Linked DNA regions of Macaca fascicularis. The protein of the gene in region 7 purifies or fractionates together with the protein of the main gene of each other region. This does not show direct contact. Links are inferred from orthologs where the notes say so. Each region holds a gene or a part of one and is shown on either strand. Other genes may lie near its edges.

Region 1 (3,984 bases), on a different chromosome or scaffold from region 7:
ACAATATCTACTGCCCTGCAGCAGGATGCCGTGAGACTGAGATGTGAGCAGACTGCTCTCCTCACCGCTTCTTGCCCACACTGGTTGCCTGGGAGGTGCCACACCCTCTCTGGTCCCGGCCCCAAGGTGCCATTTTGAGAGTTTAACACTGGGCTGCACCCTGCCCTCGACCTGAGTTAGGGCTGATGCAGTTGTAGCTGCTACTTGGCCAAGGAGGGCAGGGAAACCAGGCTATCCTATACATATCTAGGATCATACTCACTGCTCTGTAGCAGGGAGCTGTCAGACTGACGTGTGACCAGACCACACTTCTCACAGCTTCTTGCCCACACTGCATACCTGGGAGGGACCCCACCCTCTCTGCTCCCTGGTCCATGGCACGATTTTGAGAGTTTAATGCTGGCTGTGCCCCACCTTGGGTTGAGTTCAAGTTGATGTGGCTGCAGCCACCACTTGGTCAAAGGAGGGACTAGGAAAGCCAGGTTCCCCCATGCATAGTTATGACAATATCCAATGTTCTTCAATGGGCTGCTGTGAGACCAAGCCCCAAGCAGACCACACTCCCCACAGCTTCTTGCCCATGCTGCTCACCTGAAGGGTCCCCACCCTTTCTAGTCACAAGCCCACAGCTGGCATCATTTTGAGAGTTTAAAGCTGGGCTACGCCCCACCCTCAGGCTGAGTTTGAGATGATGATGATGTGGCTGCAGCTGTCACCCAACTGGGGGAGGGACAGGGGATAACAAGCTCTCCTAAACACACTTAGCATAATACTCACCACCCTGCTACAGGCAGTTGTGGGACTGGGACCTAGCCTATCCAACCCATTGCAGCTTCTACCAATACCAACACAGACTGCTTGTGACCCTGTGGGTTGCTCCAACACCACTAGTGCCCACACCACACCAGCTGCCAAGGGCCGAAGAACCCACTCACACACTGGGCTCATTGCTCTCAATATTTGTTTCTAGCAAGCCATGTGGAGGCCCAAGGATAGCCCTCTTGTACCCACCAACACTGGAGCCAATGTAAGCTGGGCCTAAAAATAGGCACACGTGGTGCACTGCTGGCACTACTGGAGCCCAAAGACTATGTTTCTAGGTCCCCAGCTAAACTTCACCACGACCTCAACTAATGCCTGTACCCTAAGTCACTGAGGAATCAGATACCACTGACCCTGTGTACTGCTCAAGAGGTCACACAAAGACCCCACTACCACAGGCAGTCAAAATCAAAGTCAAGGTATCTCAATAACAAAATATATGTCTTTAGGAAAAAACTCACTCCTACAAAAGCAATTTGAAAAAACTGGAACAAGCAACTGCTACACCAGATGCACAAAACTGTCTGCTTGAATATACAGGTAAAGTTTGTTTTCTGAAAGTCTGGATGTATACTAAGTAGAGAGTAAATAGGGTTAGTTATACTACTTGACTGAGTATAAAGAAAGAATGAAGCAATACAATGTTTCTACTTTTATTCTTTTAACTGAAATTTATTTTTTTTTTTTTATCATCTCTGACATACTCTCACCAGTTCTATACAACCCTATTCTGGAAGTACTTTTTTAATTAGCCAAGAAAAATAAAGGAAAGGCATTTGGATTGGATATAAAGAAGTAAAACTGTTTCTATTCACAAATGGCATAATTATTTATATAGATTATATAGATAATAATGTGTATGATGATGACTAGAACCACTAAAGGTACTCAGCAAGGTTACAGGATACCAAGTTAATATGGAAAAGTATTTTTTAAAAGTTTTTCATTAGTAGTAAACAATAAAAATTTTTAATAACATATCAAAAGCATAAATATTTAGATATAAATTTAACAAGAGACTTGCAAGACCTCTAGAGTAAACACTACAAAACACTGCTCAGAGAAATTAAAGGTCTAAAGGGAGAGATATACCATATTCATGAAATAGAAAAATAATAAATTAAGATGTCAGTTCTCCCCAGATTGATTTAGAGATTCAACACAATCCTAGTCATAATCCTAGTAGGCTTTGTTTAGTGGAGATTGATAAACTAGTCCTAAATTTCATAGGAAATGCAAAGGAACCAGAATATTAAAAAAGAAAAAGTTGGAAGACCACACTACTTGACATTTAAGAGGTACCATAATGCTACATTAATCAATATTAGTGTGGTAATGGTACTGGATTGACAAACGGTTCAGTAACATGATAAGAAGCCCAAAAATATACCTAAAATTATATGGGTATTTGCTTTGTAGACAAAGGTGCCAAAGCACTCCAATAGAAAAAAGGAAGTCTTTCCAACAAATTATGGTGGAATACAGTAGATAGCGGTATGGAAAAAATACTGAACTTACCAAACAAACAGGAATTCAACTTGGATTACCGCCTAAAATGTAAAATCTAAAACCATAAAGCATTTAGCCTAAAGCATGAGAAAATAAGTAGATAAAGGTTTCTTAGGGAACAGTAATAACTATGAAAGAAAAAAATTGATAAATTAGACTTCATAAAAATTTAAAACTGCTTCTCAAATGACACTGTTAAGAAAATAAATAGGCAGCCAACAGACTGGGAGAAAACATGATCATGTTTAAACTCTTACCTTGAACTCATCTGAGATTTCAGACACAAAAGAAGATATCTGCTTCATGAGCCTGTCCACACTGCTCTCACTTCCTGTTTTGAGGAGTGTAGTAATGGCTAAGGTAGCAATGCTTCTGTTTGAGTCTGTGATTAAGTTTTCTAAGTCCAGATTGCAGGCAGTAACAGCAGAGGGGTGCTTCATTGCCACCTTGTGGAAGGGCAAGAAAAAAAATTACGCAAATTGCTTTTGATAAAGGCCAGAACTTAAATTTTAATTGAGGTAACTGGCAATCCAAAGAGGACAGGATAAGTTAGAAGTCATTGTTTCAAAAAGAATGGCTCCAGTTAACAAGGTATATCTTTTAATAAATGATCAACAGCCAGAGTATAGCATCGTACTCTCTTTTGTTAGGTTCCTATAACCTTTCTAACATTACCATTTTAAAAAAATTATAATTGGCCTGTATTTCCTTATAGTACACGTGTTCATATATGTCTATTAGATGTTAGGAGCACTGAGAACGGGATCTAGCATAGTAGACAGTGCTCGACAAAGACTGTTAATATCTTAGCACTTAAAAAATACTTCTGCATTTCAACACGCAAACTCCAGCCAAACTGCATTATCTATGGTTACTACATAGTCAGCCATTCTCCTGTGTCCTTGTTTTTGTTGATGTTGTTCCATCTTTTTGTCTATCCCAGTATTGGTATAGAATCCCTTACCCACAATTTGGAAAATCTGAAAAAACTCTGGAAAGCAAAGCATTGGGATGAAAATTTATTTAACAGCAAAACATGACCTAAACTAATGTGAAACTCTTTAATTGTTAATTTGTACCACTTGACAAGAATAGTCATATGTTTTGTGCAAAAACATTAATGTGTTTTAATGGTGGGATGCTGCCCCAGGCCCACTAGGGTTAGTAAATAAGATATAACACCATATAACCTTTCTAAAATTTATCTAAAAGCTAATTCTGGGACACATCTGGCCCCAAGATTAGAGATGAGGGATTGTGGACCTGTATCAACTCTTTAAAAACAATTTAGGCCCTGGTGGCTCACACCTATAATCCCAGCACTCTGGGAGGACGAGGTGGGCAGATGACCTGAGGTCAGGAGTTTGAGACCAGCCTGGCCAACATGGCGAAACCCTGACTCTACTAAAAATACAAAAATTCGCTGGGCATGGTGGCAGGTACCTGTGATCCCTGCTACTTGGGAGGCTGGGGCATGAGAATTGCTTGAACCTGGGAGGTGGAGGTTGCAGTGTGCCGAGATCACGCCTCTGCACTCCAGCCTGGGAGACAAAGTGAGACTCTGTCTCCAAAATAAATAAATAAATTAAAAACAATTTAAATTGTTGTTCTATAAAGGTTTATTCCATGGCTGCTCTAAACTTCTCTTTTCTT
Region 2 (3,984 bases), on a different chromosome or scaffold from region 7:
TCATTTTAAGCAAGACTTTGGCATAAAGTCTTAAAGAGAAGTGTGTGTGTGTGTGTGTGTGTGTGTGTGTGTGTGTTTGGATCAGTAAGTCTTACCTAAAAAACATTATCTAAAAAGCACAACCAAACAAGTATCAGAACTAGAACGGCAGATTAGAACAACTGCTTAAGAACTGGGAAATGAAAGAGTAGTTCCCGTATTCTTTTGGGACACCTATATTCTAAGAGGACACCCAATAAATGTCTGCTGAATAAACAAGGAGCTGCAGCAGTAAGTCGCTGGGGTGGGGAGCAGGAGCCTGCAAACTGGTGAGCATCAGCTGCTTTGGAGGAAAAACTAGTTTCGCACAAAATGTAAAAAAAAAAGTGGAACCCAGTATTATAGCAGTACTCTTACCACTCTTGAGAAGAGCCTTAGGGTCTCCAAATCTTCTAAAATGTTGCTGTTTTTGGTAGTGATCAGTACCATATAGAGTTTCTCCATAGGCTGGTAGACATATCTTACACTCTCTGTTTCAACAAACGTATGTTGTTTTCCAGTGTTCATGAGCTTTGGAAAAGCTGCTAATAAGCCCTCAATCCGAGTTCGGGTCATTTCCACAAACTGTCGAGAGACAATAGCCTTTCCTGCTTTTGTGCAGACCGCTGCTGCCAAGAGCACCTGCCAGGAACATATGCATAAATAAGTACTATTATTTCTTCACATCTGTTTTCTCAACATCCCAGGAAATGTTCCATAAAATGACATATTTATTTAGTGACAGAACTAGTAGTAGTATTATTTTTAAGACAGAGTCTCACTCTGTCACCCATGCCGGAGTGCAATGGCAAGATCACAGCTCACTGCAATCTCAAACTACTGGGCTCAAGAACTCCTGAGTAGCTAGGACTACAAGTGCGTGCCACCAAGCCTCGTTAATTTTTAAAAAGCTTTTAGTAGAGACAGTGTCTACTAAAAAAGTTTAGTAGAGACCACTATGTTTCCCAGGGTGGTCTTGAACTCCTAGATTCAAGCAATCCTCCTGCCTTGGCCTCCCAAAGTGCTGAGATTATAGGCGTGAGCTACCACGACCAGCTGACATGACGAGCAATAGAATACTGACTTTCACGGGCACAGTGGCTCACACCTGTAAACCCAGCACTTTGGGAGGCCAAGGTGGATGGATTACTTGAGGTCAGGAGTTCGAGACCAGCCTGGCCAACATGGCAAAACCCCATCTCTACTAAAAATACAAAAATGAGCCAGGCATGGTAGCATGCACCTGTAATCCTAGCTACTCAGGAGGCTGAGGCACGAGAATTACTTGAACCCGGGAGGCAGAGATCGAGCCACTGCCCTCCAGCCTGGGCAACAGAGCAATACTCTGTCTTTAAAAAAAAAAAAAAAAAAAAGAATGCTGAGTTTCAAACTTTTACTCCATTGTTCTTTTCATTGTAATACGTAATTTATAAGACAAAGCTAAGGTAGAGGAAACTAACGCTATTATTCCTGTTTTTCAATAACATACCTATAGAAAAACTGTGTAATGAAATGACCTTTTTCCAAGACCATACATATATTAATGAGTCTCCTGTGACTCAGAACTGGGTTGCTCTCTGCTTTGGCAAACCCACAAAGAACAGCTTAAAACTTTTTCTAAAAAGAGCAAGATATTTCCAAGCCCATGCTGAAGTGTGATCAGGCAGATTAAAAATATTAAAGACATAAGAAGCCCCTTACATTTATTATTTTTACCTAGAATATGAACCCAAGCTACTGAGTCTAAATTTATCTTCTGCTCCTTGACTAACTTTCCCATTCACACTGTCTTACTCCCAGATATCCAAACAATCTGCAAAATAAAAATCTAAATGGCTCAATGTTTCACATAGGTTTTGATATTAGGCAATGATCAAGACCTAATAGCCCCTATTTTAGCATCTGGCATTTCACTAAACAAAACAAATAAAGTACCAAAGGAAGCAGCGGAGACCTCAAATGCCATGAGCAGGGGAGTAAGAAAATTAAGTCCAGTCCCCTCAGTGCAGGAACCCAAGAGCTCATTCACAAGCACAAGTAACAAACACTATTAAAACATTTAGGAAGCCTCAATGCTAGGATATAACCTCTGAAATATCAAAATCCTACTGGTCAGGCTTCTCAGCTTTATAGAAAGCTCTACAGGTGAGTAGCTTGAAGAACAACAAGTTAGCCAATTTAAATAAATATTCTTATAGTTTCTTTCTTTTTTTTTTTTTTGAGACGGAGTCTCGCTCTGTCGCCCAGGCCGGAATGCAGTGGCCAGATCTCAGCTCACTGCAAGCTCCGCCTCCCGGGTTTACGCCATTCTCCTGACTCTGCCTCCCGAGTAGCTGGGACTACAGGCACCCGCTACCTCGCCCAGCTAGTTGTTTTTTTTGTATTTTTTAGTAGAGACGGGGTTTCACCGTGTTAGCCAGGATGGTCTCAATCTCCTGACCTCATGATCTGCTTGTCTCAGCCTCCCAAAGTGCTGGGATTACGGGCTTGAGCCACTGTGCCCGGCCTAATATTCTTATAGTTTCAATACATCAATAGTTTTATATTATAGGAGAACATAACATCCTTATCCACTAAAAATAGGTAATTAGGGTATGTGGGAGACAATCACCATCATGCTTATTTCTCAACAGCAAGTGGTCCCGAATAGCTGGAACTACAGGCGCCTGCCACTACGCCCAGTTAATTTTTTTTTCTTATTTTAACTTCCTTTTAAGATGGAGTTTCACTCTTTTTGCCCAGGCTGGAGTGCAATGGCGTGATCGTAGCTCACGGCAACCTCCACCTCCCAGATTCAAGGAATTCTCCTGCCTCAGCCTCCCAAGTAGCTGGGATTACAGGTGCATGCCACCATACCCAGTTAATTTTGTATTTTTAGAACTTAGTACTCCTAAGTTCGATCACCTAAGGTCAAAGTGATCCACCCGCCTCGGCCTCCCAAAGTGCTGGGATTACAGGCATAAGCCAACGTGCTTATGCCCTTTTTAGGGCATAGGCCCTAAACAGTTTTGAAAAAGTAGTCTTGGGCCACGCACAGTGGCTCACACCTATAATCCCAGCACTTTGGGAGGCAGAGGCGGGTGGATCACCGGTGGCCGGGAGTTCGAGACCAGCCTGACCAACATGGAGAAACCCCATCCCTACTAAAAATACAAACACACATTAAAAGAGACTTAGACATGTCAGTCCATCACAATGTACAAATCAAATTTGAACAGTGATTGAATAATTGATAATACTAAAAAATTAATGCTAATTTTTAGGTGTGAAAATATGCTATCATAGTAATATATTTTTATGGAAGGAATACTTATATATTTTTTAAAAAGAGTTATGTAGTTTTGAATCCTTCCACAGTCTGTCATATTAAAGGTGCTCCCTCAATGACTATATTGAACTAAAAGAGTTGTCTGGGATACACCTTATCTTCAAACTATGCTAGTTTTGCATGTGGTAGCAACGAAAGGTCACTGGATTTAGTAATTATCCTGAGGATCAGAATTCACAATTTCTTTTTTTTTTTTGGAGACAGGGTCTCACTTTGTCACACAGGCTGGACTGCAATGGTGCGATCGTGGCTCACGTAGCCTCAACTTCTGGGCTTGAACAATCCTCCTGCCTCAGCCCCTTGAAAGGAGCTGGGACCATGGGCAGGTGCCACTACGCTTGGCAAATTTTTGTATTTTCAGTAGAGGTGGGGTTTCACCATGTTGCCCAGGCTGGTCTTGAACTCCTGGACTCAAGTGATCAGCCCACCCTGGCCTCCCGAAGTGCTGGAATTACAAGTATGAGTCACCACGCCTAGCCAGAACTCACAATTTCATGTGTTGAATATCAGTTATAAATATTCCTTTTAAAAGTAACTGTCCTAATATTATATAAATGGGTTTTTATGACTTGGGATAAAATTTCCCAAACTGCCAATATATCACACATGGATTCAAAACTGCTAAATAGCAAACTGAT
Region 3 (3,984 bases), on a different chromosome or scaffold from region 7:
CTGTGTGGGACACCTTAGCCATGAAATCTTGCATTACCCACAACAACCCTGAAGGTAGACAGTTTTATCTCTGCTGACTTGCCCAAAGACTCCTGGCTGGTATTGACAAAGCTAGGTCTGGAGGGCCAGAAGTCCAGGGACTCCCTTTCTAAAGATGTGAGGTCTCATAGTTATTTCCTGTCCTCGATACTCTTTGTTTCCTAAAGAAGCGACATTTGAGGGCGAAGTTATGGCAGCTGTGGATGCCTTCTATGTGGGAAGCTTATCTGGCCCTCATAAGTGTTTTAAGGGGCCACAGCTGGCCCTGAAGACAAGACTCATGCAAAGGATGAGAAGACAGATGAGAGATGAAGGGAATACATAAACACACAGGGAGCGCCGACAGGCAGGCCCCAGATGGGTCATGTGTTACATGCATGATCTCGGCTCATCCTTGCTGCTTTGTGAGGCAGTAACCTTCATTTGTATTTTACAGACAAGGAAATCACGACCCAGAGAGATAAAAGGAACGGCTGGCCTAGGTCACCGAGGAAGAGTAAAGTGGATGAAAGCCTCATCAAGATAATTCCACACATCATAACAAAGCCAAGTTGGCAAAGGCCTAAATTTAGGCAGCCCTCTGCCTGCCTTGGCCAAGTTTGCCACATCATCTGCTCCAAAACAATACTCAACTGGTTATCAAAACACTTGAATATTTCAGCACCAGCTGGTAAGCAGTCTCTAACCCAAGCCCCCGAAGTGGTACCCTGGATTCTCTAACCCAGGACCTCCCAATTCTTCCCATGATCCAATGACAAAAAGATTAAAGCCTGCTATGGCCAGGAGTCACAAGGATCTCAGTGGCAAGTGGCCATGCCAACCGGCCAGTGCCTTACCACCTGCCTGAGTGTTTTAAATATCACTCCCTTGCTCACATCTCACCTGGACCATGATGTTATCACTGGATGCCGCCTCCTGAGCCTCATTCACCCAGCGCTTGACCACATCAAAACTGCACTTCAGCAGGTGCTGTGGGCAACAGGGCACATTAAGGGGCAGGTAGGAAGTGTCCCCATCACACCTTCTGGGCCCAGTTCTGGTCCTCCCTCAGACATAGCTCAGGGGCTCGCCACTGTCCTGGTCTTCAGAGACCATGGACAAACTCAGGATGCTCCCACCCTCATTGTCCCTGCCCAAGGCATGGGTCAACGCCATCCACCCACGACCCTCTTCAATCACCCCAGAGTTCCTTGGCTCTCTTCACGGAGAAGGGTGGGACTCTCAGGCTTACAGATACAAAAATACTTTATTTTGGCCAGGTGCAGTGGCTCATGCTTTGTAATCCAGCACTTTGGGAGGCAAGGCGGGTGGATCACCTGAGGTCAGGAGTTCAAGACCAGCCTGGCCAACATGGTGAAACCACATCTCTACCAAAAATACAAAAATTAGCTGGGCGTGGTGGTGCACCCCTACAATCCCAGCTACTCAGGTGGCTGAGGCATGCAAATGGCTTGAGCCAGGGAGGCAGAGGTTGCAGTGAGCTGAGATCAAGCCATTACACTCTAGCCTAGGCAACAGAGTGAGACTCTGTCTCAAAAAAAAAAAAAAAAAAAGGCCAGCAGCAGTGGCTCACGCCTGCAATCCCAGCACTTTGGGAGGCCAAGGGGGGTGGGTGGATCACGAGATCCAGAGTTCAAGACCAGCCTGGTCAAGATGATGAAACCCTGTCTCTACTAAAAACACAAAAATTAGCTGGGCACAGTGGCCGGTGCCTATAATCCCAGCTACTCGAGAGGCTGAGGCAGGAGAATCACTTGAACCCTGGCGGTAGAGGTTGGTGAGCCGAGAGCGTGCCACTGCACTTCAGCCTGGGTGAGAGTAAGACTCTGTCTCAGTTAAAAAAATAAAATAAAATAAAAAAGAAGGAAACACTTTCTTTTTTCCTACTGGAATGTGACTCTGAAATTTTCTTCAGTTTTCTACCCCACCCCCAGCAGGGCTCCAGCAGCAGCTACACACCAAGGAAGACACGAGGGCAGAGCTGGAGACACTGGGCACCTTGTCCACAATGGCTTGTTTCATGTAGCGCTCAATAGCCTGCAGCATGGTGCTCTGTGGGCAAAAGAAGCAGGGTGGAAGGAGATCCAGTCAGTCCTTGGCAGCTCTCAGGAGTGCAGAAATGGGGGCAGATAGGAGTATGAGGAGGAAGTGTTTCTCATGTGCTCCTGCACACCACCTCCACCCCACATCACCTGGCTCAGTGAGATAGGGGACACCCCAAAGCATGCAAAAGATGATGCCGAGAGCCTCAACTGAGAGGCCAGGAAGCAGGGAAGGACCGGCATGACTCACATCGGTGATCTGGCAGAGGGCTCGCACGGCTGGGCCCCGGTAGTTGTCTTCTTTCCCAGTCATGTCTTTTGTTAGGCTGCAAGGAAGAAGGCATTGTCAGCATGCAGAAAGCCTGAGCCTGCTCACTCCTCTCCAGCTCCCATCACCACCCTTGCCCAGATTACTACACAAGCCTCCTAACCAGTGCTCTCCCTCTATTCTTGCCCCTCTAAGTCTAACTCCACACAGCTGCTGGAGGGAGTTTCATAAAACTCAAAACCAAACAGGTCATCCCCCTGCTTTTGCTAAAAAGTTTCCATAGCTTCCTACTGCCAGTGACCTGAATGTAACTCCTTGAATTTCCCCAACTGGCTATGCTCACCCCTCTCCAGCCTTTGCATGTGCTGTTTCCTTAGCCTATAGCACTCCTCACCCCTCACCTCCACTCTGTCCTACTCTTTTTTTTTTTTTTTAATTTTTTTTTTGAGACAGAGTCTCACTTTGTCGCCCAGGCTGGAGTGCAGTGGGGCGCGGTCTTGGCTCATTGCAACCTCTGCCTCCCAGGCTCAAGCTCTACTGCCTCAGCCTCCCCAGTAGCTGGGATTATAGGTGTGTGCCACCACACCTGGCTAATTTTTGTATTTTTAGTAGAGACAGGGTTTCACTGTGTTGGCCAGGCTGGTCTTGAACTCCTGACTTCTTTTTTTTTTTTTTTTTTTTGAGACGGAGTCTCACGCTGTTGCCCAGGCTGGAGTGCAGTGGCGCGATCTCGGCTCACTGCAAGCTCCGCCTCCCGGGTTCCCGCCATTCTCCTGCCTCAGCCTCCTGAGTAGCTGGGACTACAGGCGCCCGCCACCGCGCCCGGCTAATTTTTTGTATTTTTAGTAGAGACGGGGTTTCACTGTGGTCTCGATCTCCTGACCTTGTGATCCGCCCGCCTCGGCCTCCCAAAGTGCTGGGATTACAGGCTTGAGCCACCGCACCCGGCAAACTCCTGACTTCATGATCCACCCACCTCGGCCTCCCAAACTGCTGGGTTTACAGGCATGAGCCATCGTGCCGGGCTTCTTTTTTTCTTCTTTTTTTGAGACGGAATCTCATTCTATCACCCAGGCTGGAGTGTAGTGGCACAATCTCAGCTCACTGCAACCTCCACCTCCCCAGTTCAAGCAATTCTCCTGCCTCAGCCTCTCCAGTAGCTGGGATTATAGGTGCACGCCACCACACCTGGCTAATTTTTATTTCAGTAGAGACGGGGTTTCACCATGTTTGCCGGGATGGTGTCAAACTTCTGACCTCAAGTGATCCGCCCATTGCGGCCTATGGATTACACTGTGGATACAGTGTTGGGATTATAGGTGTCAGCCACTGCGCCTGGCCTGTCCTATTTCTTCTTACTCATCCTTCAGGACTCTACTTGGATCATTCCCCTAGGAGGACTTTCCTAATTCAAATCCAGCTGGATGCTCTTCTGGTCTCCTCTCATAGCCCATAATACTTCCGTGATAAACCATATTACACCCTACCTTAATGGCCTGATGCCTGGTTATTTCTCCATAAATTCTGGGGCTACAGAGGCTATGTCTATCTTTGTTGCTGCTACATCCCCAGAGCTACACACAGGGACTGACAGACAATATTTTCTAACTGAACCTACAAATCAATGTATGACCC
Region 4 (3,984 bases), on a different chromosome or scaffold from region 7:
GTGGTTTGTAAGCCCTAGTAATTCATGTCATATACAGTAAAAAACCCTTTCATCATTTGTCCAACTGTAAGGAGTTCTCTGATGTCTTAGGAAAACGTACATCAGAGAATCTTCAAATATTTATTTTATATTTTTGCATAATTACTGAAAAATATTTGAAGATATTTCCAACATTTGGTGGAATTATGATGTAGTATATAACATGTTATGTTTGCCTTCCCTTTTTTCTCCCAGGTATGCAATAAGAGAGAGCAACAGTGTTGTAAAGATATTTAAGAACTTTAAGGAAAAAAAATCATTTAAACCAGATTTTGGAGCAGAAAGTGAGTGTGGTCTACGTATTACATTTTTAAATTCTTTGTAATGGCTCCAAAATGCCTAAGCAAAACTCTTTTTATGTTCCCTTTAGGTATCTATGGCGGCTTCTTATTGGGAGTCAGATCTGTAAATGGCTTAGCTTTCTATGACTGGGACAATACAGAACTCATACGAAGAATTGAAATTCAGCCCAAACATGTGAGTTTCCCCTGTTGTTGTTTTTGGAATATTTATTTTTGTGATGAGTTCTGGGTCCCTAAGGCCAAGAAGTGTCTTGTACCCTGCTGTCCCTCTTCCATTATCAAAAGCCATTTAAAATATAAAACAGCACTTAGAATTTAAATAACTTTTTAAAATACACATCGTCTACGGCCTCATTAGGGTACGACAATCCTGATTTTCTGAGCAATTGGAGGTAAGTGGCAGTGCCATTTTGACAGAGGAAAAAAGCATGCTTTGACAACAAGAAGTCAGAGAATTCTTGACTTGGAAATGCCTTCTTCCACGTAGTTCAGAAAACCTTTTCATATGTTTTGATGATAGCTGCTTGAACTTGAGGTGACCATCTCCAGTGACAAAGTGTTTACCTTTAGAACTGCCCGCTGCTTTGACAGTTTTCACTATCAGGAGATTATCTGTGGAAACAAACCAGCTTTTCTGGGGTCTGGTTCTAGAGTGTGCATTCTCAATGGGCGTAAAAATTGGCTTGGGGGGGCTTACTCTTTATGAATAAAGCATAGCTATACATATGTGTATGCATTACATATGTGTATCTGTGGTATTAACATTTCATTGGGGGAGGTGATTAGAAAAATGTCCAGAAAGACTTCTAGGGAGGGTGGGTGAAAATGAAAAAAAAAGAAAAAGTGATAAACACTGTTCTAGAGCAATAGGGAACAGGCTGCTGGTCCTCTATGTAGCACGTTCAGTGTTTACTGACAGCTGTCCTTTCCTGTCTCACTTTGGACTTTCTATTGCTAGGCTAAATAGCATAGCCCTGCCCTGGCCACCCTCCCAAATAATGCCACATAACATTGTTAAGTGAATACTTATTATCTTGATATAAGAAGATAAATGTTGTAAGAAATCAAGTATGTGCAGTTTGTCATATCCACTCAGAAATCCAAATCAGTTGTCTATGATTTTGTTGTGTTGCAGATTTTCTGGTCTGACTCTGGAGAGCTAGTCTGTATTGCTACTGAGGAATCATTTTTTATCCTTAAGTATCTGTCAGAAAAAGTCTTGGCTGCACAGGAAACACATGAGGGAGTTACTGAAGATGGCATTGAAGATGCCTTTGAGGTAATTGGATCAGCACATCGCTTTTAGCTTTGTATTTAAATGATTTATATTCTTACAACAGACTTTACTGATTTTAACATTTCGTTATAAATTAGGTTTGAGGAGACAGCATTTAAGGATTTCTGGTGAAATGTGAAAATTAAAATCTTGACTCATAGATCAAACTTTGAAAATACGTTTAAAAGAAATTTGTGCTTTGATTTTAGGAATTCTTTAGACTTACTTTGATATCTTTCAGTAAAGAAATTGTAGTCGTTTTGGTCCTAAGACTATTTAGTCAGTGATTTAAATGAGCTCCCAAATGGTAAATCATTCATTATGCAGATATCCTAGATTTTGTGAAATACTTAATATTTCATTTTCAAGTTATGAAGGGTCTAAGTTTAGATCAGTGTTCTTTTATATCATGGTTTTGGCCCAACAATGAGATTTCACATTACAAATACTAATCTAGGAATCTGTTCTTTTTTTTTTTTTTTTTCTGTTTTGAGCCTAAGGGTTATATTGAGTAGGAATCTGTTCTTAAATGAGGAAAGAAATTCCAGCCAGTTGCAGTGGCTCACACCTATAATCCCAGCACTTTGGGAGGCCAAGGTGGGCAGATCACTTGAGGTCAGGAGCTTAAGACCTGACCTTAACTTGGCATGGTGAAACCCCGTCTCTGCGAAAAACATAAAAATTAGCCAGGCATGGTGGCAGGCACCTGTAATCCCAGCTACTTGGGAGGCTGAGGCAGGAGAATCACTTGAATCCGGGAGGCGGAGGTTGGCAGTGAGCAGAGGTTACACCACTGTACTCTAGCCTGGTTAACAGAGACTCCATCTCAAAAAAAATTCCAAGGAAAATTTTTCTTTCTGGAAATAGGAAGGATTTTACTTTGCACTCCTTATTCTACCATATCACCCTCAAATATATTCAGCTTTTTATTGAGAGATTTCTGATGTTGGATAAAGTAATAGTCTTTATTTTCTTTCTGCAGGTTCTTGGTGAGATTCAGGAAATTGTGAAAACGGGGCTTTGGGTAGGCGATTGCTTCATTTACACAAGTTCTGTGAACAGATTAAATTATTATGTTGGAGGAGAAATAGTCACCATTGCCCACTTGGACAGGTACCTGCGTATCATTTCGCATTTGTCCTAAATTTTAGCAAAATCTGTTGTTGGCTTGATAGGCTGATTTTTCAGTGGAATAGTTTTAGTAGGTTGCCTATTGTTAACCAAAAATGTATCAATCAGACGGGAAGGTTTTGAGCAAGAGGCAGGTTGGCGGGGCGTGTGTTTGTGTAATTGCAGATTTGAATTTCTAACTTGGTTTCTGTGTCTTTTATAGGACGATGTATCTCCTAGGCTACATTCCTAAAGACAACAGGCTTTATCTAGGGGATAAAGAATTGAACATCGTTAGCTATTCCCTGCTGGTTTCAGTCCTGGAATACCAGACAGCCGTCATGCGGAGGGACTTTAGCATGGCTGATAAGGTCCTTCCTACCATTCCAAAAGAACAGAGGACCAGAGTTGCACACTTTTTGGAAAAACAGGTAAGAGGTTTTGTTTTGTGTTTTCTTTTTGTTTTTTAAAACTAGCAATTTGAAAGCAAATTAGTATGGAGTTGAAAAACTTTATTTCTTAATTGCCAACTGATTTCTGTGGCAATAGAATTTCTCCTGTGAGTTTAAGGCACTTGTTACAGCATATGATGCACCCTTCTTACACGCTTCCTTCTGCTTTCTCAGTGCCCCCTTTAAATGTTAGAGGTGATTTATCAGTCTTTCTCTTTTTATTATTATTATTATTATTATTATTATTATTATTATACTTTAAGTTCTAGGGTACATGTGCATAACGTGCAGGTTTGTTACCTATGTATACTTGTGCCATGTTGGTGTGCTGCACCCATCAACTCATCAGCACCCATCAACTCGTCATTTACATCAGGTATAACTCCCAATGCAATCCCTCCCCCCTCCCCCTTCCCCCCTCCCCATGATAGGCCCCGGTGTGTGATGTTCCCCTTCCCGAGTCCAGGTGATCTCATTGTTCAGTTCCCACCTATGAGTGAGAACATGCGGTGTTTGGTTTTCTGTTCTTGTGATAGTTTGCTAAGAATGATGGATTCCAGCTGCATCCATGTCCCTACAAAGGACACAAACTCATCCTTTTTGATGGCTGCATAGTATTCCATGGTGTATATGTGCCACATTTTCTTAATCCAATCTGTCACTGATGGACATTTGGGTTGATTCCAAGTCTTTGCTATTGTGAATAGTGCTGCAATAAACAGATGTGTGCATGTGTCTTTATAGCAGCATAATTTATAATCCTTTGGGTATATACCCAGTAATGGGATGGCTGGGTCATATGGTA
Region 5 (4,522 bases), on a different chromosome or scaffold from region 7:
ATGGCATGAACCTGGGAGGCGAAGCTTGCAGTGAGCTGAGATCACGCCACTGCACTTCAGCCTGGGCGACAGAGTGAGACTCTGTCTCAAAAAAAAAAAAAAAAAAAAAGAATACTTGCTGCTGGGCACAGTGGCTCACTCCTGTAATCCTAGCATTTTAGGGGGCTGAGGCAGGCAGACTGCCTGAGCTCAAGAGTTCAAGACCAGCCTGGGCAACACAGTGAAACCGTCTCTACTAAAATACAAAAAAATTAGCCAGGCGTGGCAGTGTGTGCCTGTAGTCCCAGCTACTCGGGAGGCTCAGGCAGGAGAAATTGCTTCAACCCGGGAGGCAGAGGTTGCAGTGAGCTGAGATCACAGCACTGTACTCCAGGCTGGATGACACAGTGAGACTCTGTCTCCAAAACAAAAACAAAAACAAAAAAAAAAATACTTGCTAACTGGGCAGGTGCAGTGGCTCACACCTGTAATCCCAGCACTTTGGGAGGCCAAGGCAGCAGATCACTTGAGGTCAGGAGTTCAAGACCAGACCAGCCTGGCAAACATGGTGAAACCGTCTCTACTGAAAATACAAAAATTAGCTGGGCATGGTGGCACGTGCCTGTAATTCCAGCTACGCGGGAGGCTGAAGCACGAGAATTGCTTGATTCTGGGAGACGGAGGTTGCAGTGAGCCAAGATAGTACCACTGCACTCCAGCCTGAGTAACACAGCCAGACTCTATCTCAAAAAAAAAAAAAGAATATTTGTTAACTGCCTGGTACAGAAAATATTTAAAACTACTCAGATTTTAAGCTTTTTACCTATATTTGACCAACTGACATAAGGAATTATCTGTCTCTTTTTTTTTTTTTTTTTTGAGACTGAGTCTGGCTCTGTGGCCCAGGCTGGAGTGCAGTGGCCGGATCTCAGCTCACTGCAAGCTCCGCCTCCCGGGTTTACGCCATTCTCCTGCCTCAGCTTCCGGAGTAGCTGGGACCACAGGCGCCCGCCACCTCGCCCGGCTAGTTTTTTGTATTTTTTAGTAGAGACGGGGTTTCACCGTGTTAGCCAGGATGGTCGGAATTATCTGTCTTTAACATGCTGAAAGAGAGGAATTAAAAACTGTTATTCTTTTATCTGACGAGGATCTGAATATGTATGCATAGGAGATCTAAAGGAAAATAAAAGACAAGCTTCTTTGGAAAGAGGCCTGGAGTTCGAGCCAATTAACGAAGGAGGCTGGGAGTTAAATTCCTACATTAACTACCTACCTACCTACCTACACACACACACACATACACACACACACACCCCTCCAAATCGCAAAATAGGGCACTTTTGAGAGAAATTATCTGGTTCAGTTCTAAATAAGGGGTAACAGGTATTTTATTTGTTAGAACAAGCATAAAGCATCATATGGACAAGAGGGCTAATACACTCCTTGTAGCGACCACAATTCTCATGTAACCAGAAAGGGAGAAATTAGCATCCTAGATCATACAATGAGAATCCCTGGCCAGGCGCGGTGGCTCACGCCTGTAATCCCAGCACTTTGGGAGGCCGAGACGGGCGGATCACGGGGTCAAGAGATCGAGACCATCCTGGCTAACACGGTGAAACCCCATCTCTACTAAAAAAAAATACAAAAAACTAGCCGGGCGAGGTGGTGGGAGCCTGTAGTCCCAGCTACTCGGGAGGCTGAGGCAGGAGAATGGCGTAAACCCGGGAGGCGGAGCTTGCAGTGAGCTGAGATCCGGCCACTGCGCTCCAGCCTGGGCGACAGAGCGAGACTCCGTCTCAAAAAAAAAAAAAAAGAAAAATACAAAAAATTAGCCAGGCATGGTGGCAGGCGCCTGTAGTCCCAGCTACTCGGGAAGCTGAGGCAGGAGAATGGCGTGAACCAGGGAGGCGGCGATTGCAATGAGCCGAGATCGCGCCACTGCACTCCAGGCTAGGCGACAGAGCGAGGCTCCGTCTCATAAATAAATAAATAAATAAAATAAAATAATTCCTGGCCAGGCGCGATGGCTCACGCCTGTAATCCCAGCACTTTGGAAGGCCGAGGCCGGCGGATCACTTGAGGTCAGGAGTTCGAAACCAGCCTGGCCAACATGGTAAAACCACGTCTCTACTAAAAATACAAAAAAAAATTAGCCGGGCATGGTGGCACGCGCCTATAGTCCCAACTATTCAAGAGACTGAGGCAGGAGAATAGCTCGAACCCGGGAGGCGGAGATTGCAGTGAGCCAAGATCGTGCCACGTGTGCACTCCAGCGTAGGCGACAGAGCAAGGCTCGGTCTCAAAAAAAAAAAAAAAAAGAATTCCTAAGGTCCAATGGGTAGAGAAAAGGAGAACAGAATAAGGAGTCTGGAAAAAATATTCCACAATCCATGCTAACTTTATCAGGTATCCCAGAACTTTGATGAAACACTGATTCTTTATCATGATAAACCTATTTAATAGGGATTAATAGGAAACCCAAGAGAAAACAGTTTCCTGAAAGAATGTGGCAGGGAATCAGCAATGGAGAGTCAAACTTGGGAAACCACCAGGAGGAGCCTGTAACGACAAAACATCTGTATTCTTTTCTCATAATATGGGGCTAGTTTGGTGGTTTTGGTAAATTAAAATCAGGATATCATCCACAATGCTAAAAATAAGGGGAAACCTGAAGAGTCCTAATCCAGTACGCTTACAGGTCTGTGTATCCTAAGGAGTCCATGTGCTACCTTTAACTTTCCATCGACTCTATGCCCTCTCCCCGGCAGGGCTTCCTACTCTAAACCAAGGCTTTAGCTCCTACACTAGGCCACACACTTATTCCAAGGGTCGGCAGAACCGTCAGTCCCCAAGAATTACCCGGAACTCTCCTTCCCCGTCTCCCACTCGGGCTGCACCCTGACTCCCGGCCCCTGTGGACAGCACAGCATCTCTGCTGCCCCTCCAGCTCCTACCAAAATCAGCGCTTCCATCTTGCCCCGCAGCTGGTGCCGACGTGGAGCCGCAAAAGTAACGCCACCGCTGATTGGCCATACGTCCCCATTAGGCCCTGCCTAGGATAAGGATCATTGGGTAAGACTTGCTCTGTTGACCAATTATTGTACTAACTTGCTTACCGGAAGCAGAGTATCCAACCAGAAGGCACAGGTGTTTGATTGTCAGTTTGAATACTCAATAAAACGCCAAAACCTCACGACTTATTAGGGCGGGAGGGTCGGTGGGGCGGGGTTGTTTCCATGGGGAACGGAGGAAGCGATTGTTAATTTTCAATTGGTAGGGCCAGGGACACGTGATATTGTCGGCCTGATTTAGCGATTTTAAACCGCACTCTCTTTAGGGGGCGCTGTGTCTCCTTAGCCTTTAACGCTGACGCTTCCTAACAGGGATCCTCCCCTAATAATCCCTATTTTCAGCGCCCCCTAGGTCCATGATCTCTGTGGCTAGCCCTTCCCTCAGGCTCGCTCGGGTCACTTTAGCATCCTCACAGAAAGTCTGCACAACCATAGAGTAGAGCCAAGAAAGGCCCAACATGTTAACTACATAAACCAAGACTGCCAGAAGATGATAGTCGCAGTAACAATCTCCCTAAGGTGGAGTTCCAGGCTTTGCTGGGCCTGAGGAACATGAGAAGTCAGAGTTTGTAAAAGCTAACTTTGGCTCAATCGTCTTTGGAGATGGAGTTGGGGGGACAAACGGGGAAAGGGATTAGAATAAGGGAGGGTTATAGGGAGTAAGGTCTGGGGTTTTCCAATAGAAACAAGCCGTTGTGGCTGGGCGCGGTGGCTCAAGCCTGTAATCTCAGCACTTTGGGAGGCCGAGGTGAGCAAATCATCGGAGGTCGGGAGTTCGAGACCAACCTGACCAACATGGAGAAACCCCGTATCTACTAAAAAAAAAAAAATACAAAATTAGCCGGGCGTGGTAGAGCATGCCTATAATCCCAGCTACTCGGGAGGCTGAGCCAGGAAACTCTCTTGAACCCAGGAGGCCGAGGTTGCGGTGAGCCAAGATCACGTCATTGCACTCCAGCCTGGGCAACAAGAGCAAAACTCCATCTCAAAAAAAAAAAAAAAAAAAAGAAAGAAAAAGAAAAGGAAAGAAACGAGCCGTTGCAAAATGAGAAAAGAGAAGTTTACTGAATGCAACGATTTCACAATAGGGAATGGTTTTGATGAAGCTTGGCTTTCCCCTATCTCTTGGTTTCCTGATCCCTGACTCCTCTTAGGGCAGGGATACCTATTGCCTTAATTATCCCTCAGGGATTTTTTTCCCTCATCTCTGAAAATTATGTCCTTAGGAGCTCTCCAAGAAGAGATTCCAGACTTATCCAGGAATTTTTCTTTTTCTTTCTTTTTCTTTTTTTTTTTTTTTTTTTGAGATGGAGTCTCTCTCTGTCTCCCAGGCTGGAGTGCAGTGGTGTGATCTTGGCTCACTGTAACCTCTGCCTCCCAGTTTCAAGCGATTCTCCCTGCCGCCTCAGCCTCCGGTGTAGCTGGGATTACAGGCGCCCACCACCCCTGGCTAATTTTTGTACTTTTAG
Region 6 (4,743 bases), on a different chromosome or scaffold from region 7:
CACCTTTTTGATAGGGAGGCTCAGTTACCTGTTCGTCTCGGTATTCCTCTCAGTGCTCAGCCCTGTAGACAGTTGTGATGTAGTTTTGACTAAATGCTGAAATGTTGAGTAGGGGGAAAGAGCCATCTTACTATTATTATAGTTAGCAAAATTTTTCTGTAAAGAGCAGGTAGTAAATATTTTTGCCTTTATGGATGGTGTGTGGTCTCTGCTGCACATTGTTTGTTTTTGTGTTTATAACCATTTAAAAATGTAAAAACCATTCTTACCTTACAATACCAAAAACAGGTTGAGACATAGGCATTGCCCGGGACGTGACTGCGGGTTTTGGGGCAGGAAGGAAGAGGCAGCATGTGCAGGTTCCTCAGCGGCCAGCCCTGCTCTCATTTTCTCTCTAGATCCTCTGCCTTCTTTCCTGAAAACATACCCAGTGCTTGCCATTTTTGGGGAGCCACTGTACTGTTAAATTAGTTAATTTTGTTGTTCTGACTATACCCACATTTACCTAAAGAACCTCTGGGGAGGCAGGAAAGTCAAGACCAAGGGCTCTGCCTGAATAAAACGGGTGATTCCTTTAGGGTGTGTCCAGCAGAGTGGCCAATAAGGAACTGCCCTTTTTTTGTCCAAGAAGAATTTTAAAACTCAGAGCCATGAAAATTAGCAGTTATGCAAATTTGAGTATATTTTGCATAAAAAGAGATTGGATGCTGTGGATAGTAACATCTCATGTCAGTTAATTGTTATAACGAACTTTGTGACATTTGGGTGTGGCAATATCTGATTTCTAGCTCCTGCTGTGGTTTTCAAAGAGAATAGAAAACAAATGTAGCATGATCTCTGAGGGCTTGTTAGGAAAGAGTCTGGAGACTGGTTTCTTCCCTGGTGTGCTCTCTCACTGGCCGTTATTCCCTGTATGTGTTTCTCCGTCTGCAGATGAGGCCAGTACTGTTGCAGAGAGAGAAGCTATTCTCTAGGTTCAGCTATTCAAGGAGTAAAACAAAGTAGATCTTTGCCCATTGGCCTGCTGCTAACCTTTATGAACTTCGGACTTTGGAAAATGCGTATCAGCAGAGTTGGGCTAAATATGTCATTCAAATATGTTATTGGCTGGGTGCTGTGGTGTGTGCCTATAGTCCCAGCTACTCAGGAGGCTGAAACAGGAGGATCATTTGAGCCCAGGAGTTCTGGTCTGTAGTGTGCTATGCTGATCGGATGTCCGCACTAAGTTCAGCATCAATATGGTGACCTCTTTGAGCAGGAGATCACCAGGTTGCCTAAGGAATGGTGAACCAGTACAGGTCAGAAACAGCAGGACAAAACTTTCGTGCTGATCAGTAGTGGAATCGTGCTTGTGAATAGCCACTGCACCGTAGCCTGGGCAATACAGCAAGACCCCATCTCTAAAGCAAATGTTACTGACTTTTGTTTTATATATTTATGTATGTGCAAAAAATACCCTACAAAATATATGTAACTTCAGAAAAGTTTTGGATAACTTATGTTTGGTATTCATAACTTATGAATATTAAAATTTTTTGTGCAGGTATTTTGATAATAGCTCATATCTGTTACAGAACTATAAATTAAACAATAGTTTTTTGTATTATTAAAATATACTAAAAGTGATTATTATTTGTATAATATATGAAATCGTTTAGTCCAGTGGTTCTCAAAGTGTAGCCTCTTGATCGGTAGCATCAGCATCACCTGGGAACTAGGAACTTGCTGGAATGCAGATTCTTGGGGCTCAACAGTTGATGCTTTATCAAGCCCTGCAGAAGATTCTGGTACTAGCCAGGGTTTGAGAACCACCGGTTTAAACCTTAATTAAGAGGTTCTTTATTTTTGCTGTGAATGTGCTAGTAAACTTTAATGTTGCCAAAATGTGCTAAACAGCTGAAAACTGGGTCTGATATCAACAAATGCCTTATTTAGCTTTTTGTTTCTTAATATCAACAGGTGACACTTGGACAGAAACACTGGCCTATGTGCTCTTCTGGGGAGTTGCAAGCATTGGAACATTTTTTATCATTCTTTACAATGGCAAAGATTTTGTTGATGCTCCCAGACTGGTCCAGAAGGAAAAGATAGACTGAATTTGTATTTGTGGAAAGCGGCTTGGCTTGGAAGATTCCATTGTGCAGAACTGGAGTCTTTACTGACCCGCTTTCCACATCAGCCCAAGGTCTTTTTAATGCCTTTATCCAAAAGCACATCTTGTGCTCCGTGCAGGATGATGACAGAATTGATCTGATGTTACTGCCTTGATGGTCTCTTTGCTATTGGGACAGTTAGATTTATAATTTGAAGCTATTCTGTAATTAAAATATAACCTGAATTCAGCTTGCAGAATGGAAGCTGAATCTGTTCATTGGATTCTATTGATTGTCAGTTTAATCAGCTGTTGCAGAATAAGTAATATATTTTAAAAACCTAGCTCCTTTCATTATTTAAAACAGTAAAATTATTTTTGTAGCTCAGTTTCATTATTGTCCTTGTAGAAGCAGTCACTGTTAGCAGGCATACTTTTCCACACATCTTTGGACTTTTCTTAAAAGTTCAGTAATAAGCTAACTGTGTTTATAAAATGTAAGTCTCTTACAGACATCAAGTAGTTTGATGAGACAGTCTGTGACTTCATGATAGGAAAGAGGAGGGGATGTGGTCTGGGGTTCTTTTAAAGTCTCTGGTGGGCTGCCTCATGACTTTAATCAGCTTGAGCTGCCAGTGCACCAGCAGTTTAGATGTGATGAGAGAATTCAGATATACTTTATCTTTTTAAAAAAGTGTAAATAAAATCAAAGAATGTAAAGTCTATCTCTTATGCTAGAGGTCCAAAGCCACCTCTGTTTTAAAGATTGCCCCAGTGTGGAAGATGCCCATGACTGGTCAGCTACTTCCTCCTGTACATTTTGGTTTCTTTGAGGGTCAGTCATTGAGACATGCAGGCCTCTGAGAGGGTCTTGTTCTAGATTTCATATTGCACTTGGGGGGCAACAGCTGCTTTTCCACGCATGGTACTCTTGATGCTTTTCACTCTGTCAAGGATTTTGTTGGCTGTCAATAAATGTGTCTAAAACTTAGTGCTTCCAGGTAGTTATAGTTCTCCAAATCAAGGACCAACTTAAACATTAATTTATGTGCAAAAACAAACCTGAAAAATATGCTTCGGAAACTGTGCATAGTTCTAATTGTAAGTCAGATTGTATATTCAAATTGTAATTAAGAGATTTAAATATTAGAACAGTATGTAAGGTAGTATAATTACCACTATTTTAAAACAATTCAATTAAACACTGCTACAATATTTCAGTGTTGTGCTTGAAAATATGTACAGTTTTTTTCCAATATTAATACCTTATGTTGTCCTTAAATATTTCTAAAAGCGCCTTTATTTCAGCATTACCTTTTTTTCATCATTATCTTTTGTAAAACATTGATACAAGTTGTTACTTTTAGAAACTCTAAAGGAAATAATAGCTGGAAAACCCTTTGTAGCTTAAAATCAGTCATTAAACTCACAATAGGGTAAGTAAATATAGCCACCTGTTAACATGTAAATAAGCATAATGTGTTCCAAAGATGGAATATTGAAACTTAGTTCATGTCTGCTGTAAAATATTATTTAAATGCTGCTGGGCATTTCACTTAAAGAACTTAATGTCAACAACTACAACAAAGACCAAATCTGAGCTGCTAATGTGGCTGCTTTGTAGGGAATGGACTAATCAGTGTGTTAGATCTTAAGGTATCAGTATTTCAGAATCCTGCGACGATTTTATTTCTAAATTCATGTACTGTATGTCCATAAGTGAAAATAAAATGTCATATTCTTTTCTAACTACTGTTGGTATCATTCATGTACTTTGAAAGTGATGTTTTTCTTTTTGATCTTAGAATATTAAAAATCATGCAGAGTGATACGGTTTGGCTCTGTGTCCCCACCCACCCAAATCTCATCTTAAATTGTACCTGGTGGGAAGTAGTTGGATCATGGGGGATGGTTTCCCCCATGCCATTCTCATCAGTTCTCACGAGGTCTGATGGTTTAAAAGTGTTTGGCATTTACCCCCTCGCTCGCTCGCTCTCCTGCCACCATGTAAGACGTGCTTTGCTTCCCCTTCACCTTCTGCCATGATGGTAAGTTTTGTGAGGCCTCCCCAGCCATGCAGAACTGTGAGTCAAACCTCTTTTCTTTATATGTTACCCAGTCTCAGGTAGTTCTTTACAGCAGTGTGAAAACAAACTAATACACAAAGCAATGCATGATCATCATAGAAAAATTGGAGTAAGCAAGCAAATCAGTAGCTTCTGCAATCTTGCTTTCCAGTTACCATCACTTAAGAAATTTTGTATCTCCTTATAGTTATTTTTTTTAGTTACAGAGAAACCCAGGGAAGTACTTAAATGTAATGTCTATAAAAAGGTGTCCCCCACCTTCAAACTGTGATTTGTTTTTCAAAATGCTATGAATCCCAGCTGATGTGGGAAAATATTGCTTGTTAGAAAATGACACCTCCACAGGAAGGTGTCAGCATGAGGGAAATAGTGATGTGAACACATTGGTACCTAGTGATGGCAGCAGTGGGCTGTCTGAAGTGGCTGCTGCCATTGTGCCGGCCTTGGCAGGGAGATGTGAGTGGTGACGGCAGGAGGGGCTGCAGGGGCAGCAGTAATGATGGTGAGACCCCTGTGCCTCATGTTCCCTGTGCCCTGTGTCCCTGCGGCAGCCGACTGCACTGC
Region 7 (3,984 bases):
CAGGAGATCGAGAGACGATCCCGGCTAACACGGTGAAACCCCGTCTCTACTAAAAAATACAAAAAAACTAGCCAGGCGAGGTGGCGGGCGCCTGTAGTCCCAGCTACTCGGGAGGCTGAGGCAGGAGAACGGCGTAAACCCGGGAGGCGGAGCTTGCAGTGAGCTGAGATCCGGCCACTGCACTCCAGCCTGGGTGACAGAGCAAGACTCCGTCTCAAAAAACAAACAAACAAACAAACAAACAAACAAATAAAACCCAAAATCCGTTTCACCAAAATGGAAAAAGCTTTGATGTCCTTTTTGATTATAAAAATAATAACCCAGGCCGGGCGCGGTGGCTCACGCCTGTAATCCCAGCACTTTGGGAGGCCGAGGTGGGCGGATCATGAGGTCAGGAGATTGAGACCATCCTGGTTAACACAGTGAAACCCCGTCTCTACTAAAAACACAAAAAATTAGCTGGGTGTGGTGGCGAGTGCCTGTAGTCCCAGCTACTCAGGAGGCTGAGGCAGGAGAATGGTATCAACCCAGGAGGCAGAGCTTGCAGTGAGCTGAGATTGTGCCACTGCACTCCAGCCGGGGGACAGAGCAAGACTCCATCTCAAAAAAAAAAAAAAAAAAAAAAAAAGAAATTAAAAAAAAGAAAAAAATCCGCTGGGCATGGTGGCTCACACCTGTAATTCTAGTGCTTTGGGAGGCCAGGAGTTCAAGAACAACCTGGGCAACACAGCAAGAACAACCCCGTCTCTACAAAAAATAGTATTTTTTTTTAAATTTAAAATAACATAAACTCTTCATAAAGACTGCAGATGGTCAGGCATGGTGGCTCACGCCTATAATTCCAGCACTTTGGGAGGTTGAGGCAGGTGAATCACCTGAGGTCAGGAGTTTGAAACGAGCCTGACCAACATGGCAAAACCCCATCTCTACTAAAAATACAAAAATGAGCTGGGCATGGTGGCAAGCGCCTATAATTCCAGCTACTCGGGAGGCTGAGACAAAAGAATCGCTTGAACCCAGGAGGCAGAGGTTGCAGTGAGCTGAGATCACACGACTGCACTCCAGCCTGGGTGACAAAGCGAGACGCCATCTCAAAAAAAGACAAGAAAAGACTGCAGACATCAGACAGGAGACGACTGCAGCCAGCCTGGGCTCCTGGCCACAGCACGCTGTCCCCTAAATAAGGACTGGGAGTGTCTCTCCAATACTGAATATGTACTCAGGTGAGGGGTCCCACATGCAGGGCCAGGCAGCTGAGGTGACAGACCACTGAGGCCCAGGCTGCCCAGATGCCCCATTTCTGTGAGGCCGGAATCTGGATTTCTTTGCAGGTGCGATCCCTGCTTTGTGGATCTCGCTGCTGACTGGGCCTCAGAAGCCCTGTGGGGCCACACGCACACGCAGGGCATCTCTGCTACACTTGTTTCTGTTTGCCCTGACCCCGCCCTCCGGCCGCCTGGCCTTCCCTCCGTTCCCACTTTGGGACAGCCTTGTGCCTACCTTGTCTAGCGCCTCCTGTAGCAGGCCCTCAGCGGCCTCCCAGCGGCCCTGGGCCATATGGCAGGCCGCCTGCCCATTGAGCAGCAGCAGGGTGGGCGAGCACTTGTCAGCCATCTCCTGGAAGATGTAGTAGGCATCCTGCAGCTTCTCACCGCCCTGCAGGGAGGGTCCCACATCATCATCTGTGCTGCGGCCGCCAGGCCCTTCCACCGTCAGCCCCCTCCCCAAGAGGGGGCTCTGCACTGCACAGACACAAATCTGGTATGCCCGGTTCAAGGCACAGCCACTCCACCATGGGGACCACTCATAACCTGTACTCTGCTGACGGGGCCTAAAGACTCGCGGCCGCCTCCTGCCTCACCTCCTACCCGGCTCCCAGTGCGCTGGGTACACAGAGGTGGAATTTAGGGCTTCCAGGGCACAGGGGCACAGGTGGCTGGGCCAGGGTCTGAGTGGGGACCACTGGGTCACCGGGCACATCGGAGGAGGATGAGTCAGCTCTGTGACCAGCAACTCTGACCTGCCCGCTTGCTCAGGACTGTGGGATACTTGCAGGGGGAGCCTGAGGTCAAGGCAGGCTGTGAAAACAGTTCAAACTACCCGAGAGGGCTGCCGAGGCCTGTCCCACCACACTGGACGGCCACTGGAAGTCCATCTGGGTGAGGCTCCAGCCCCGTGGTGGGCAGGGACGGGGAGCACATTTCTTCCCCCCAGAGTTTTGCTCTTGTCACCCAGGCCAGAGTGCAATGGCACAATCTCGGCTCACCGCAACCTCCACCTCCCAGGTTCAAGCGATTCTCCTGCCTCAGCCTCCCAAGTAGCTGGGTTTACAGGTGGGTGCCACCATGCCCGGCTAATTTTGTATTTTTAGTAGAGATGGGGTTTCTCCATGTTGGTCAGGCTGGTCTCGAACCCCTGACCTCACATGATCCACCCACCTCAGCCTCCCAAAGTGCTGGTATTACAGGCGTGAGCCACTGTGCCCAGCCAGGAAGTGTATTTTAACAGGCCTGCACAAAAGAATGGCTCAGAAGGGGGCCAAGTCCCAGAAACCAGGAGGGGGGTGTTGCCAGGCAGAGGTGCCCAGGCCTGGGAGCTGAGGACATCTCCACCGCTGCTATGGGAACACTGAACCCTGTCCCTGGCTGGGGACCAGGACCCTGGAGAGCAAAGCTGAGTCGCAGAAAACCCCAGGAAGCCCTGGGGGGAGGAGGGGCTGCCAGGCCAACCCAGACCCTCGAGTCCCCCTGCGCCTCAGGCTCAGGAACCCCGTCCCCGTCCCCACCATCGCTCTGCCTCTGGCCAAGCCGCTTGGCTGTGAGAAGCCCGGAATGGAGTGAAGGCTGAGAGTTGTGCCAGGCTGGCAGGGGGCCATGGCCTGATCCTGGAGCCCCACTGGAGTGGCCGGCAGCCTGGGCACAGGTGGGGGTGCCCACAGACCCTACTCAGCCAGGTGCCCACAATGCCCGCCTGCCTCGTGGCCCAGGACTCACCGTGGCCAGGCTGACCCAGGCGGTGGCGAGCTGGGTGAGGGTGGCATCCTCGTCCAGGTCCTGCATTCTCTTCAGTTCCTTCCTGGGGTGGGGACAGAGGACGGAGGGGCTGAGCGGCCGAGAGCCCTGGCCTGGCTATCCCTGCCTTGTTCCCACTTGGGGCCCGCCAGAGCCCGGGGATGGCCCCCACTACGTGCTCCCCTGCGTGCTCATACCCCACGACGAAGTGCCCGAGCTGCCCTGCCCGCCCCACCACGTGAAGGCCCCGGGAAGGCGGGACTGGAGCCAGCTACGGACCCCCGAGGTGGCTGGCACAAGGTAGGGCTCGGGAGAGACTCGCTCCACGGAAGATGGAACGCAGGGAAGGGCGACGGAGCTACAGCATGAACAACTCTGAGGCAAGGGCTTTGGAAACGGCAGCAGGGGAGTCCTGGACCACCAGCCATGGCCTCCGACCTGGTGACGCCACGTGCAGGCCCCGCCAGCCCCATGGCACAGTTACAAGCTGGCCCAGCGACATGTTCCTCCGGGCACGACCTCCACTCCCTCCATAAAGCCCACTCTCACCCTGTGGGACAGGCCCACCACTACTGCAGAGAGAGAAACTGAGGCACAGACAGCCATGGCCCTCCTCCCTGGCAACATACTGCAAGGAAGGGCTGAGTGACGGCAAGTCACCCCCACGGAAAGGAATAACGAGTAATGACAGCACCACAGACGCTCTGGGCCATGGCTCAGTATGGGTACAGAGGAGTGGGAGGGCTCACCGGGCGAGATCCAGGCGGTCCAGCTTCAGCAGGATCTGCACTGTCATGGCCATGCTGCAGGACAAGGCGGGGGACGGTCAGCGGATGGCCACAGACACGCTGCATGGCCACTGCACACCCAGGGCTCACTCTGTGTGTCTGGGATGTTCTTAAGTCCTGTACTTAGGACCACCAGCCCCACACAGCAGAGGGGGACACCCTCACTCCCACATTTCACCGCTCAG

The links.
Region 1: the proteins of COPE (region 7) and COPG2 purify together in Homo sapiens (affinity purification with mass spectrometry; 5 studies listed by BioGRID and IntAct, with this or other methods). This does not show direct contact. The link is inferred for Macaca fascicularis from reciprocal best matches to the Homo sapiens genes COPE and COPG2.
Region 2: the proteins of COPE (region 7) and ARCN1 purify together in Homo sapiens (affinity purification with mass spectrometry; 4 studies listed by BioGRID and IntAct, with this or other methods). This does not show direct contact. The link is inferred for Macaca fascicularis from reciprocal best matches to the Homo sapiens genes COPE and ARCN1.
Region 3: the proteins of COPE (region 7) and COPG1 fractionate together in Homo sapiens (co-fractionation; 6 studies listed by BioGRID and IntAct, counting the BioPlex papers as one, with this or other methods). This does not show direct contact. The link is inferred for Macaca fascicularis from reciprocal best matches to the Homo sapiens genes COPE and COPG1.
Region 4: the proteins of COPE (region 7) and COPB2 purify together in Homo sapiens (affinity purification with mass spectrometry; 4 studies listed by BioGRID and IntAct, with this or other methods). This does not show direct contact. The link is inferred for Macaca fascicularis from reciprocal best matches to the Homo sapiens genes COPE and COPB2.
Region 5: the proteins of COPE (region 7) and COPZ1 purify together in Homo sapiens (affinity purification with mass spectrometry; 3 studies listed by BioGRID and IntAct, with this or other methods). This does not show direct contact. The link is inferred for Macaca fascicularis from reciprocal best matches to the Homo sapiens genes COPE and COPZ1.
Region 6: the proteins of COPE (region 7) and SACM1L purify together in Homo sapiens (affinity purification with mass spectrometry; 4 studies listed by BioGRID and IntAct, with this or other methods). This does not show direct contact. The link is inferred for Macaca fascicularis from reciprocal best matches to the Homo sapiens genes COPE and SACM1L.

The regions. Positions count from the first base shown.
Region 1 is NC_088377.1:172,077,122-172,081,105, forward strand, and holds part of COPG2 (coatomer subunit gamma-2), read right to left. Parts: intron 2,778-3,984; coding exon 2,589-2,777; intron 1-2,588. UniProt on the Homo sapiens protein: The coatomer is a cytosolic protein complex that binds to dilysine motifs and reversibly associates with Golgi non-clathrin-coated vesicles, which further mediate biosynthetic protein transport from the ER, via the Golgi up to the trans Golgi network.
Region 2 is NC_088388.1:117,450,600-117,454,583, reverse strand, and holds part of ARCN1 (coatomer subunit delta), read right to left. Parts: intron 661-3,984; coding exon 397-660; intron 1-396. UniProt on the Homo sapiens protein: Component of the coatomer, a cytosolic protein complex that binds to dilysine motifs and reversibly associates with Golgi non-clathrin-coated vesicles, which further mediate biosynthetic protein transport from the ER, via the Golgi up to the trans Golgi network.
Region 3 is NC_088376.1:154,168,536-154,172,519, forward strand, and holds part of COPG1 (coatomer subunit gamma-1), read right to left. Parts: intron 2,408-3,984; coding exon 2,332-2,407; intron 2,092-2,331; coding exon 1,999-2,091; intron 1,009-1,998; coding exon 922-1,008; intron 1-921. UniProt on the Homo sapiens protein: The coatomer is a cytosolic protein complex that binds to dilysine motifs and reversibly associates with Golgi non-clathrin-coated vesicles, which further mediate biosynthetic protein transport from the ER, via the Golgi up to the trans Golgi network.
Region 4 is NC_088376.1:42,202,557-42,206,540, reverse strand, and holds part of COPB2 (coatomer subunit beta'), read left to right. Parts: intron 1-234; coding exon 235-323; intron 324-409; coding exon 410-516; intron 517-1,476; coding exon 1,477-1,620; intron 1,621-2,599; coding exon 2,600-2,730; intron 2,731-2,950; coding exon 2,951-3,158; intron 3,159-3,984. UniProt on the Homo sapiens protein: The coatomer is a cytosolic protein complex that binds to dilysine motifs and reversibly associates with Golgi non-clathrin-coated vesicles, which further mediate biosynthetic protein transport from the ER, via the Golgi up to the trans Golgi network.
Region 5 is NC_088385.1:61,173,046-61,177,567, reverse strand, and holds the start of COPZ1 (coatomer subunit zeta-1), read right to left. Parts: upstream 3,034-4,522; 5' UTR 3,016-3,033; coding exon 2,842-3,015; intron 1-2,841. UniProt on the Homo sapiens protein: The coatomer is a cytosolic protein complex that binds to dilysine motifs and reversibly associates with Golgi non-clathrin-coated vesicles, which further mediate biosynthetic protein transport from the ER, via the Golgi up to the trans Golgi network.
Region 6 is NC_088376.1:108,647,499-108,652,241, forward strand, and holds the end of SACM1L (phosphatidylinositol-3-phosphatase SAC1), read left to right. Parts: intron 1-1,959; coding exon 1,960-2,096; 3' UTR 2,097-3,841; downstream 3,842-4,743.
Region 7 is NC_088393.1:19,305,411-19,309,394, forward strand, and holds part of COPE (coatomer subunit epsilon), read right to left. Parts: intron 3,815-3,984; coding exon 3,761-3,814; intron 3,076-3,760; coding exon 2,994-3,075; intron 1,657-2,993; coding exon 1,501-1,656; intron 1-1,500. UniProt on the Homo sapiens protein: The coatomer is a cytosolic protein complex that binds to dilysine motifs and reversibly associates with Golgi non-clathrin-coated vesicles, which further mediate biosynthetic protein transport from the ER, via the Golgi up to the trans Golgi network.